2 linked regions of the Tribolium castaneum genome follow. The protein of the gene in region 1 interacts with the protein of each later gene in a pairwise test. Links are inferred from orthologs where the notes say so. Each region holds a gene or a part of one and is shown in the gene's direction. Other genes may lie near its edges.

Evidence for each region. The genes of interacting proteins can lie anywhere in the genome.
Region 2: the proteins of Pfdn5 (region 1) and Pfdn6 interact in a two-hybrid assay, tested with the Caenorhabditis elegans proteins (2 studies listed by BioGRID). The link is inferred for Tribolium castaneum from reciprocal best matches to the Caenorhabditis elegans genes pfd-5 and pfd-6.

The regions. Positions count from the first base shown.
Region 1 is NC_087400.1:9,619,833-9,625,789, forward strand, and holds Pfdn5 (prefoldin subunit 5), read left to right. Parts: upstream 1-3,404; 5' UTR 3,405-3,483; coding exon 3,484-3,585; intron 3,586-3,641; coding exon 3,642-3,776; intron 3,777-3,823; coding exon 3,824-3,898; intron 3,899-3,948; coding exon 3,949-4,101; 3' UTR 4,102-4,177; downstream 4,178-5,957. Other genes in the region: uncharacterized protein LOC103314387, read right to left, coding at 2,601-2,627, 2,678-2,716, 2,768-2,891, 3,030-3,103. UniProt on the Caenorhabditis elegans protein: Binds specifically to cytosolic chaperonin (c-CPN) and transfers target proteins to it. Binds to nascent polypeptide chain and promotes folding in an environment in which there are many competing pathways for nonnative proteins.
Region 2 is NC_087394.1:25,216,106-25,221,680, forward strand, and holds Pfdn6 (prefoldin subunit 6), read left to right. Parts: upstream 1-2,351; 5' UTR 2,352-2,488; coding exon 2,489-2,552; intron 2,553-2,597; coding exon 2,598-2,914; 3' UTR 2,915-2,989; downstream 2,990-5,575. Other genes in the region: glu (structural maintenance of chromosomes protein 4), read right to left, coding at 1-174, 822-962, 1,009-1,196, 1,244-1,348, 1,402-1,578, 1,624-1,815, 1,861-2,088; vesicle transport protein GOT1B, read left to right, coding at 4,723-4,747, 4,800-4,891, 4,953-5,131, 5,185-5,266, 5,323-5,373. UniProt on the Caenorhabditis elegans protein: Binds specifically to cytosolic chaperonin (c-CPN) and transfers target proteins to it. Binds to nascent polypeptide chain and promotes folding in an environment in which there are many competing pathways for nonnative proteins.

The DNA.
Region 1 (5,957 bases):
TTTTTAAAAAATCACTGTGAAGTGATTATTTATGCATTAGAAAAACTCAGAATATTTTGTAGTTTTAGCAAATAGTCGACTTGTACTTGAAACACGCAGATAATGTACAGGGTGTGCTAAAACGCAAAAAGTTGAATGAGTCAATTTTTTTAAAAAACACCATGTATTTTTTACACGTATCGATAGCATTTTGCATAAGCTTTCTAATGGTATAGGGTTTACATAGCAAATTTAAAACATTTTTCGAGATTAAAAAAAAGTATTTTATTACAAGAAATTTGTTATCCTAGAATCTGATTTGTCAAATGATAATTAATTTTTTGATATGTACTAATGTAATGTGACTAATTACATTAGTAATTTAATTATTACTTGATACATCAATGAATTTTACACATCAAAAATTAATAATAAAATATAAAAGAAAAAAGAAAAAAACACTTTAGGAAATATTTCTAATTTACTATACAAACCGCATATCGTTAGAAAACTTATAAAAATGCTATCGACACGTGTAAAGAAATACATAGTGTTCCATTTGAAAAATATATGAGTTATTCAACTTTTTTACGTTTTGGCACATCTGTACATTATCTGGGTGTTTCAAGTAAAAGTCGACTAATGCTGAAACTACAGAATATTCCAAGTTTTTCTGTTGCAAATTTATCGGAAAATATTCATAGGTGACTTCGCAATGATTTTTCAAAAATTGGTCTTTTTTATAACAAAAACTTAAATAATTCCGAAACGAAAAGAGATAGACCCATAACAGTTTTATTTTTTTTGCGTAGAATCTAATTATGCAAAATATATAAGGGGTTTGATTTAAAAAATATAACTTTGGTTCACGAGCCTGTATACAACACCCTGTGTGCAGTAAAAATATTTTTAGTTTGTGTACTTGTAAGTCGATCTATCGAATAATGAAACATGGCAATATTTCAAGTAACATAAAAGTTATAAACCGAAAACAACAAATATTAACGTGAAACCTATTGCTTTTGAGTTTAGTTATAAGTAACAACGTAAAATAATTTATTAAAATACACACCATCACCTCAGTAAAACTTTTTTTTTTGTTCACAAATTATGGTGGAAAATTTATTATATGTAATGTTTCGCGGAAATGCTAATAAATATGAGGTAAGGGGTGAAGTAAGAAAAAGTGACTATTAAAATATTAAAAAGTCAAGAAGTTGGCCTGATATAAAAAAAACCATTTTTAGCAGCTCCTCCAGGTTGGATATTAGGAATCTGCACTTGTGTAAATCAAATGCCCAGCGACATCAAGAAATAATACCCGAAAAGCCCAATGTTCGAAAAAAATTAAATGAATTCAAAAAACACAAAAATCTAAATTTGGACAAAACATAATCCCAAGTTTTCAACCAAACAAACAAAAGTGGCTGTTTCTTCATCAAAATTCAAAATTTTGACTTAGTGAAGACTGTATATAAAAAAAGAATTTAAAAATTACGCACTACACACTTGTATACCAATTTCAGTGTCAAATATTGATCTCTAATATTACAAAAACTTATTCTGTGATATACTACACTGAAAAAGGCGAACTTAAATAACAAGATAATGGCTTATGTGCAAAAATTATGGATTTAATAATAATAATAATACATTATTTTCTCATTTTGTCATAATGTTCAAAATTGATATGCATAATAAATAAACCTACAAAGCAGTTATTTAAAAAAATAGTTAAGGAAACTTCAAATTCAAAAAATCTCCTATCAGAAAAATAACTTTTGTCCCTCATATGTTTCAGCCACTGGTTCTTTAAAATAACCGAAAAATATTATGGTAATTACACTAATTACACAACACTAAAAATGACCACAATCCGTCCTTTGCTTTAGTTGGGACAAAAACAGGTAGCAACCAAAAGACCATCCACAGAAACGGCACGAGCAACGCCTCTATAGGCAAAAGCAATAAACTATGGGGGATTATATGACAAAATCAGTCTATTCATTGATAATTTAAAAACAACAGTGTTCTACTACATGGCGTTTGTTAAATTAGTTGAAATTTCATATTTTGTAATAAATATCAAAACCCTAAAACAAATTTTGAAGTTTACTGATAAAATAACGCGACTTTTACATCAATCGCAATATCTCAAAAATAAATTAAACCTTTTCTTAAAGGAGTTTACTTTTTCAACGCATTAGCCTGTAGAATTAAAAAACCTTTAATATGATGTACACATAATACAGACTGATCCAGAAATACTGAGTCTGTTGGCAACACTGGACTTAAATTTTTAAGGATACCAATGAAGTACGCTTCAAGTTAACAAGAATTTAACATTCTTGTGGAGTTGGACGTCAAATAATTGTCAAGAAAAATCGAATTCGGTTGCAATGTTACAAATTACGAGCACAAATACTTTCAAATGTGTTGCCAATAGACTCAGTTTTTCTGGATCAGTCTGTATTTGAAATTCTGTTGCGTATTAAGAGAGAAAACTTTTTTAACTGCGCCCTCTGGCGACATTAGCGGAACCATTAAAAACGGGAACGTTTTATTTGTATGTACATCGTTTCGTATCCTAATCTTTAGATATCCGTACTTAAAACACTTACAGAATTTGATCGTTTTAACCCAGAATTCTGAAATAAATAGGTGTTTAACGTTATGTCAATTGTATTTACTGTTTTACCAGAGTCGGAGTAATGACCGTTGATTTTTTATAAGAAACCTACAATCAGCATTAGAGTGATAAAGTTCTCGAAACAAAACAAAACCTAACTGATGGAGTAACCGAAGGTCTTCTCAAATTTGACGAACTTGTTGATCTTTTCAAGGGCGGATTTAAGGTTCGGTCCATGGAATTCGCCCTGAACCTTTTTGCATTGTCATCTTTTGCACTAACTCTTTAAAACAAATTAGAGCCAATAATTTCATTTGAATTTCTTGAAGAAGGAATTTAGGAGAAGGGTACTTTTGGTAATTTTTTACTTTTTTAATAAACCAGGACCTAAATTAGGTACTACAAGTTTACATTATTTTACCTGCTGACAGAAGACTTTGAGCGTGACCTATTGGGGACTGGAAGTTGGGAGCTGCTGTTTGACCGTCGGTACATTGTTCAAAAGACTTCTCAACTTATTAAAAACACAATTAAATCATAAAACTGACTGAAGTGTACAAACATCAAGTTCAAAAAACGTTATTACAAAATCACCAATCAAGAAAGTCCAATAGATGCAATTTATCTACTAAATGTATCTAAATTGGAACTACTTGCTGTTAATTTTTTTAATATGTACCAATAAATACGAAACGTATACAGATTTATTTAACTGGAAACAATTTTAAAAAAATAATGCAAAGCAGTGCTTGTATGAAAGACACAGCATTGTCTTTCGACGAGTAGTTCATTCAAACAGTGCAATTTGTCTCTACTCCATTGCTATTTGACACTACCTTGTTTGTCCATTTATTAGTTATTAATTTATTAGAAAAATGGCTCAAATTTCGTCCACAGAACAGCCTAATATGAAGCAAGTGGATCTGATGACGCTAAATATCCAGCAGTTATCAACGTTAAAGCAACAGTTAGACCAGGTATGTGCCCTAACCTCAAACCTTGCACATGATTCTAAAAACTGCTCTTTTTCCAGGAATTGTCGCTCTTTCAAGAATCTCTTGCGTCCCTCAAAATGGCACAGACGAAATTTCAAAACTCCGGAGAGTCTCTGGAGAAAGTTGGCCCCGATTCGGATGGAAAAGAGATTTTAGTGCCGTTAACAGGATCGGTAATTTGAGTAATATTTACGAACTTTAATGAAAGTTTTTTTTTAAGATGTACGTGCCTGGAAAGTTGCACGAGACCAACAATGTGTTGATCGATATCGGAACCAGATATTATGCAGAAAAGGTGCAGCAATGTTGATGTTGAAATTGTGTGTTAATGATTGAATTTTTTAGGATATTGATGCTGCTAAAGATTACTTTAAGCGGAAAATTCAGTTTGTGACAGAACAGATGGAGAAAATTCAAATTTTGGGGTTGGAAAAAAGCAAAATTAGAGATGCTATTGTGGAAATTGTGGAATTAAAGCTGCAACAGCAACAGAATTGAGTTTAATTTTGTACATGATTTATTTATAACTGTGTTTAAATGTTTACCTAATAATAAAAAGATAAATTAACCTCCACTTTATTTGATTTTATGTTCCTGACTTATTCGGGAATTGTCTACATTTTGTATTAATCAATTTTGGTCAAAATTTGTTGCCGGATAGGCAACCAAATATACAGCTAGTTTTGGACTATCACTGAGAATATTACACACTGATCCACAAAAACTGAGTTTGTTGGCAACAATGGCTCGTAATTTGCAAGACTGCAACCGAATTCGATTACTTTTGACAATTATTTAACATACAATACCACAAGATTGTTGAATTGTTGTTAACTGGAAGCGTACTCCAATGGTATTCTATAAAATTTAAATTCAATGTTGCCAACAGTCTCAGTATTTCTGGATTAGCCTGTATTTATAATAGATGGTTATAGGAAATGCTAATATAGATCGATAAAGAAAAATATTCTCCTCCATCTAGTAAAATAAAAATTAGGATATTAATATAAGTTATGGGTACTTGAAGTTGTACAAACTTAACTTTAAAATTTTGGGTTTTTTACACTTCTTTTCCAATTTTGAACACATTAGAAAACAGATTTTATAGGCTTTCTCTTTTAATTCTTCAAAGATAATTTCGAAATTTCTCAAACTAAAAAAGCTACCGAATTTTTTAAGTGTCAGGTGCAAATCCAATAATTTTCAAAAAAACTTAAATATTTAAGAATATAAGATGCGTTGTCTAATACAATTATTGTCGGATCTTCTAAAGACGGTAAGAGCTTTTCAAGGAGACACGTTGTCGTGGTAATCGTCTGATTTTGTCTTTGAAGAAAATATTAGGGAAGCGTTTTCCAAGTTTTCCAAGTTCCTCCTTTGGCAAAAATCTATGTCTCGTCGAGAAAGTCGTATAAATTCACTGTTTTATACTCCTCGTATTTTCTCAAAAAAATTAATCTTTTTGAAACAATTTGTGGCTTCTGACACAGAGCTCGTCGATTGCAGTCTCTTTTATAATGAAACTCTGTAAAAACAAAAATATGTTATATTATACGTATATGCTTACTCATAAGTCATATTACACCTAGGGGCCGGTTTATATCAGGCGAATTAAAATTTGATTGCAATTAAGTGTTTTGTAAATTGGCCTCACTATATTTAACTAACTACAGTCAAACTTCTTTAAGTCGAACTTCCTTTACTCGAATTTCTCTCTTACTCAAAAATTTTTGTTTCCCCTTGCATTGCCAATCTTATTTACATGTGTTTAGCTTTCTTTAACTCGAACTTCTCTAACTCGAAAATTTCTCTAACTCAAAATTATTTTAATGAACAAAGCATGCGCGAACTTCTTTAACTCGAAATTATTCGTCACAATTCGGCGCAGTGTTATGCAAGTTTTAGTTTCGCAAAAATTGGCACATTTTCTAGAAAAATGGCATCTAACTATTGAAAAAGAAATGGACAGTGGGGTGAAAAAGAAAAAAAAATATGAAATTCCGTCGAGTACATTATCTAAAATTAATGAAAACAGAGCGTCAACGGTACAGTTTGCTCAGGAAATTGGAAATTCTGCCAATATGACAACTGATATTGTTTATAATTCACTAAATAAAATCGAGCGATTTTATGAAACCAATTGTATCAAAAAAACTGTACGTCAAAATCTGATCACAAGTTATATGCATTGAGAAAGAAAATATATATGTATGTTCATACAAATCTGTAATAATGTTCATTTCTAATAAAAAAATATTTTCAGTTTCTATAACTCGAAATTTCTCTAATTCGAACAAATATTCGTTCCCCTTGACGATTCGAGTTAGAGAAGTTCGACTGTAATTAAATTTTAT
Region 2 (5,575 bases), on another chromosome or scaffold:
GGCACTTTTTGTAACTTAATTAGTTTCTTTTTTTCATCTTCCAGCTGTTGCTTAAATTTTTTCCTGTTATTGTTAGTGTTTGTCATTTCGGCTTGTAGTTGGGCATCCTTTTTATCAGCCGCATTGAAAGCATCCTTGAGTTGATCCTTTTTCTGTTGCAACTTTTCATATTTTCTAGAAAAAAAATTGTTAAAACAAATCAATGTTTCAATAGCTATTTAAGTGAATAATACAAAATTGTTTAAATAATTTTTTGAAGGGATAAAAGCTCTTTATTCACGTATAGCATTCAATATTTTTAGAACGTTAAATCACAATTACATTTCAGTTCGCTTTTTGAAAACCTAAATTTTAATATTTAAATGAAAAAGATGAATAAATAGTTATTTATTATACAAGACCATAAAGAGATTGTTTATTTACGATTAAGTTCAAGAATAACAAAGACTTATTTCACGAAAATAATACTTTGATTTTTCTATAGCAGAGACATTAAGTTTAAAAAAAAAAGCTATTGTTAATCCTTAAAATTAACATGTTGGAATTTGTAACTTTATAAATTATTGAATACAATGAATTTAAAACAATTTATGTACGCTTGTGGTAAAGTGCTATTTTATGTACTCAAAAGAATTGATAAAGAAATAATGTATCATCTGATACAGAAAAAACGGTTGTGTGGCAGAGTGAATAAAGCGTTGCTATAAATATTTTATTTATTCTTTTGATTCATTTTATTGATTAAACTATTGTTTTATTAATCAGATTTAATTTATAAAATGAGTATTTTATTAATAGCATTGAATAAACGATTTATTTACCCAGCTTCTTGCTTCAAAATTTTCTCTTTTTCAGTTTTTTCATCTGAAATGGTTTTCAATTCTGCAATTAAACCGTCACGACTTTGTGTTAACTTCGCCTTGTCTTCTTCCACTTCTTTCACTTCAGCTTCTAAATCATGTCTGGAAAAAACGGGTTATAAATGGCACTCATTCCAAACAAACTCACAATTCTTTCTGATGCAAGAAATTCTTACAAACTGCAATTTTGTTCTCTGTTTTCAGAAAAGTAAGCGCTTCTTCCATAGGTCCCTTGAGTTGTTCCAACTGTTTTTCAATCAATGTGAGTCTGTTGAGTTTTTCAGTGCGCAAATCCGACAAATATTCTATTCTCTCATTTAATTGCTCCAAGGGTTTCTACAACAAATTTTTTTTTTTTGTGTTAAACTAATTAAACTTCTTACTTTGTATCTGTGTGTTCCAATGATATCTTCCAGATATTCCAACATTCCTATTTCGTTTTCATTTGCTCCTTTACATTTCATCATTGCGATTTCCTCAACTTCGCCCTAACAAAATTTCATTCAAAAATAAAGCACTTGAAGGAGAAATAATCGCAAACCTGCAAAATCAGAAACCTGTTAGTGTCGATATCAATTCCATGCCCCTTCAACAATTTCCCAATTTCCTTAAATTGGACTCTTCGTCCATTGAGCTCATAAAACGAACTGTTGTCTCTATTGGCAGTCCTTGACACGACAAATTCACTACCTGGAACAACCTCATACTCTTCCCCGGGCTAAAAACAATCACTTATTCACAATTTCATAAAATTAAGCCTTACCTTATCTACGATTTCACAAAAATGCACCGCCACATTGCAAGACTGAACATTAGGATACCGTTCAGAATTGTGAATCAACACTGATAATTTTTTGCACCTCATGCGAGTGGCCCTATATCCAAACACAAACAGCATCGAATCAATGACATTGCTCTTGCCGCTACCGTTGGGGCCAATGATGGCATTAAAACACTACAAAACACTCATTGTCTCTTGTCCAAACCGTCACAAACGTACCTTAGAGAAGGGCCCCAAAACTACATTTTCAGCGTAACTTTTAAAATAATTGTTCACGATCTTTGTGATTATTAAGCGAGTTTGCGACTTCTCGACGTTCCTACGTTTCAAAGGGGGCGGAATGTAAATATCATCCACATAAATACCCTCTTCGTCCGAAAAGTTCAAGTCTTCTTCGACTTGGCTGTTGTCTGGGTGTTCGCGCTTCTTTCCTCTGTTTTCCGTCATTTTTACACATACATAACATACAAGAAACTGCGGAACACAAGCATAACACAACTAAACTCGTTGAAAACACAAAGCACGAAGAAATTTCAAATTTTAACGGTTATGTTGCGTTGTTTTGTTTAGGGTGAAGTTAGTTGCATTATTTAATTCATGTATTAATACGGGTCGTGTAATAAGTGTAAATCGCCCCCTTATTTTCAGTAACTAACTGAGTTTAACGAAATACAGGATAATTATTCTTTTTTAGAGCGAAATAAATTTTTTGTCCTTAGTATATCTAGTTGGTGACGTAGAAATCCCTAGACGTGTGGGTGGTCGGCCTGTTTGATTTTGACGTTTGCCCAAAAAGGAAAAATTAAGATACACTTTTATATTTACTCCAAGATTATAAAACCGAGCAATGAGTGAAGATCTGCAAAGAAAAATCCAGTCGGAGCTGGACAGTTTCAAAAACACACAAAAAGGTACAATAATCTGGTTTTTTGTCCAACCTAACCAAACTTTTCCAGAGTTGCAAAAGGCGATTTCAACGAGACAACAATTAGACAGTCAGTTAAACGAAAATATGATTGTTAAAGACGAATTAGAAATCCTTCCTAAGGATGCTAAAGTGTACAAGTCCGTTGGTCCAGTCCTTATCAAAACTGAACTTGTTGAAGCTAGACAAAATGTGGGCAAACGAATGGATTATATCAAGAAAGAGATTTCGAGGGTTGATGATTTGATCACTTCGATTGAAAAGAAGCAAGATGTGCATAGGGAGGCGCTCCAAAAGCTGCAACATCAGTTTCAACAGGCGCAAGTGAAGGCTGCATTACATGCTTAATTTTGCGAAAAAATCACTTATTTATTAACACGTTTTGTAATACGAAAGAATAATAAAAATCTCGTTAACGCTTTATTTATTTAGTCAATTATCCACTGTTTCTGTTCAACCATGCTACAATGTGTTCAGCTTTACGAAGCCCTGTATACGTTATGGGATAGCCCCCTTTAAACAGTCTCAGTGCTGGAAAACCCCCAATTTCTTGTTCTCGAACTAATGCCTTCTCGACTGTCGCGTCCACTTGTCCCAGTTTAATTTTTGATTGTTGTTTCTCAAGAATCTTGCACACTTTTAAATACTCGGGGGCAAAAGCCTTGCAATGGCTACACCACGGCAGATAAAATTTAACCATTAAAAGTTCGTGATGACTGACCGCCTCTTTAAAATTAAATTGGTTCAAAATCAAAATTCCGTCTTCGGTGGGAAATTCATCTTTTTTACCACCCCCAAGAAAGGAAAACGTGGAACTGATTAAACCAAACGCCGACACGAAAGGGTGCAACATTTTGTGTAAAGTTAGCAGTAAGAAGGCCCCTTCAGCACACAACAGATTTTAAGCATTTTGACCTTGTTTTCAAATATCTCGAAAAATGTTAAAATTTGAAGGGAGCTGCCTTGTTTTTCTATTGCTCCGCTTCAGCACAAAAATGAATACGACTTCAGAGTCCTGTTTCACAAGGTTAACGCCTTTAAAAGAAAAACAGTACTTATTATTAAATTATTATTATTAAACTAATAATTTTAAAGAACATCAGGTAAAAAGGAATTGACGTTTAAAATCCGCGCAGTTTTGAATGTCAATTGTCAAATGTGCAAAAGATTGGTTAGGTTAGCCAAATTTTTAAAACGAAGTTAAAATAAATAAACAAATAATAACAATAATGAATATCCTCGACACGGTGTTGTGCACATCGAAAGCTGAAAAATATTCAAGCAATTTTAAACAATTCAGCATTGATGCATTCACTCTCAAATTGTTCAATGAAGAAGATTTAAAAATCTTGGGTATTGAGGAGGAAGAAATTCGATTAGCTGTTTTACAACATGCTAATAATTTACAAATACCTGCAGAGTATTTTTTACAACCGAATAATTACACAATTTCTAATGTTTTTTTTGCAGAAAACATACAGAGGTTTTGATAGATGAAAAATACGTACAATTAGTTTTAGCCCAAATGTCTATGCATTTGACGAAACATTTAGCTGCTCTTTCTATTGCAGTGAATAGAAGGGATACAATTGTGTGCAATGTTCAGTTGAAACCAGCTGCCCATTGTTTGCAAAAATGTGTAGAATCTTTAGAAAAACAATTAGACGAGTTTGAGCAAAAGGTAGTTTTGCAACACGTCTGAACTATAATTAATTTCTACTGTTGCAGATTGTTAGAAAAAACAGGAAGATATGGTACAAACAAATTCTCATTCCTATTATAATTCCATCACTTGTGTTTGCCTCTTTCAAAGCCTATAGAATTATTCTAAAACTGATGTAATAAATTGATTTTGCAAAAAACTGTCTCGGTTTAAATTTCGCGCCTCCAATAAAGCCAACATAAAAAACACTAATGTTTAACAACACAAAAGATGATTGATCAAGAAAGTAAATATTGCGCTAAAGTGTAAGAAAACGTGATCATAAGTAAAACGTGCAATTTTCTTTGACTATTTCAACTTTAAAGTAATATTTAAAGCCAGTGGAAAAAAGTTCCAACTCATACCAGTGACGTGGATGTGTTTTGTGAGGTTATGTCACAGACGTTTTAAATTTAAAATTTTCTTTATATAAATCGCCAAATTAAAATAGAAAATGTTTGAGGTCACCGATACTCAAAGTATGTTTAAACAATTGCCAAAATATGTTTGGTGATAATATTTTTTTTACAGAAATTGGGGTCGGCCTGGCTGGCTTTGGGATGTTTTTCCTATTTTTGGGTGTTTTATTACTCTTCGATAAGAGTTTATTAGCGTTAGGAAATGTAAGTAAATAATTTCTTGCTGTTAGCGCATGTAAAAACATCACATTTCGTTTTGTTGCAGATATTGTTTATAGCTGGATTGGCATGTGTTATAGGATTAGAACGAACGTTTAGATTTTTTTTCCAAAGGCACAAAATCAAAGCCTCAATCTCCTTCTTTGGTGGAATAGTGATAGTGCTTGTAGGTTGGCCGTTAGTTGGAATGCTCTTTGAAACTTACGGATTTGTATTATTGTTTAGGTATAATGTGTCTTGTGTCTGAGAGTTGTAAAATTGACAAAGCATAATTTTAGTGGCTTTTTCCCAGTTGCCATCAACTTTCTCAGAAGAGTACCCATTTTAGGAACATTTTTAAATTTCCCAGGGATTAGCAAGGTACTCAAATTTCGAAACAGTTTAATTTGGAATAATATCTCCAATTTTTTAGCTAGTTGATAAACTGGCTGGAGACTCCAACAGGACAACAGTGTGACTTGAAATAGACTTGATTTCAAACAAAATTGTTGAACGGTGCTGTTGCATCGTATTGTGGTGGCTCAGATTTAATTTAATTACAAATAAATGTATTTCATTTGCAATATACCTACTGTACAGATTTTTTATTTTCCAAATAATGTACAAAAACCATTTATCGTTATAATAAATGTCGGCACATTTTTTATTTGATTATTAATAACATTTTCC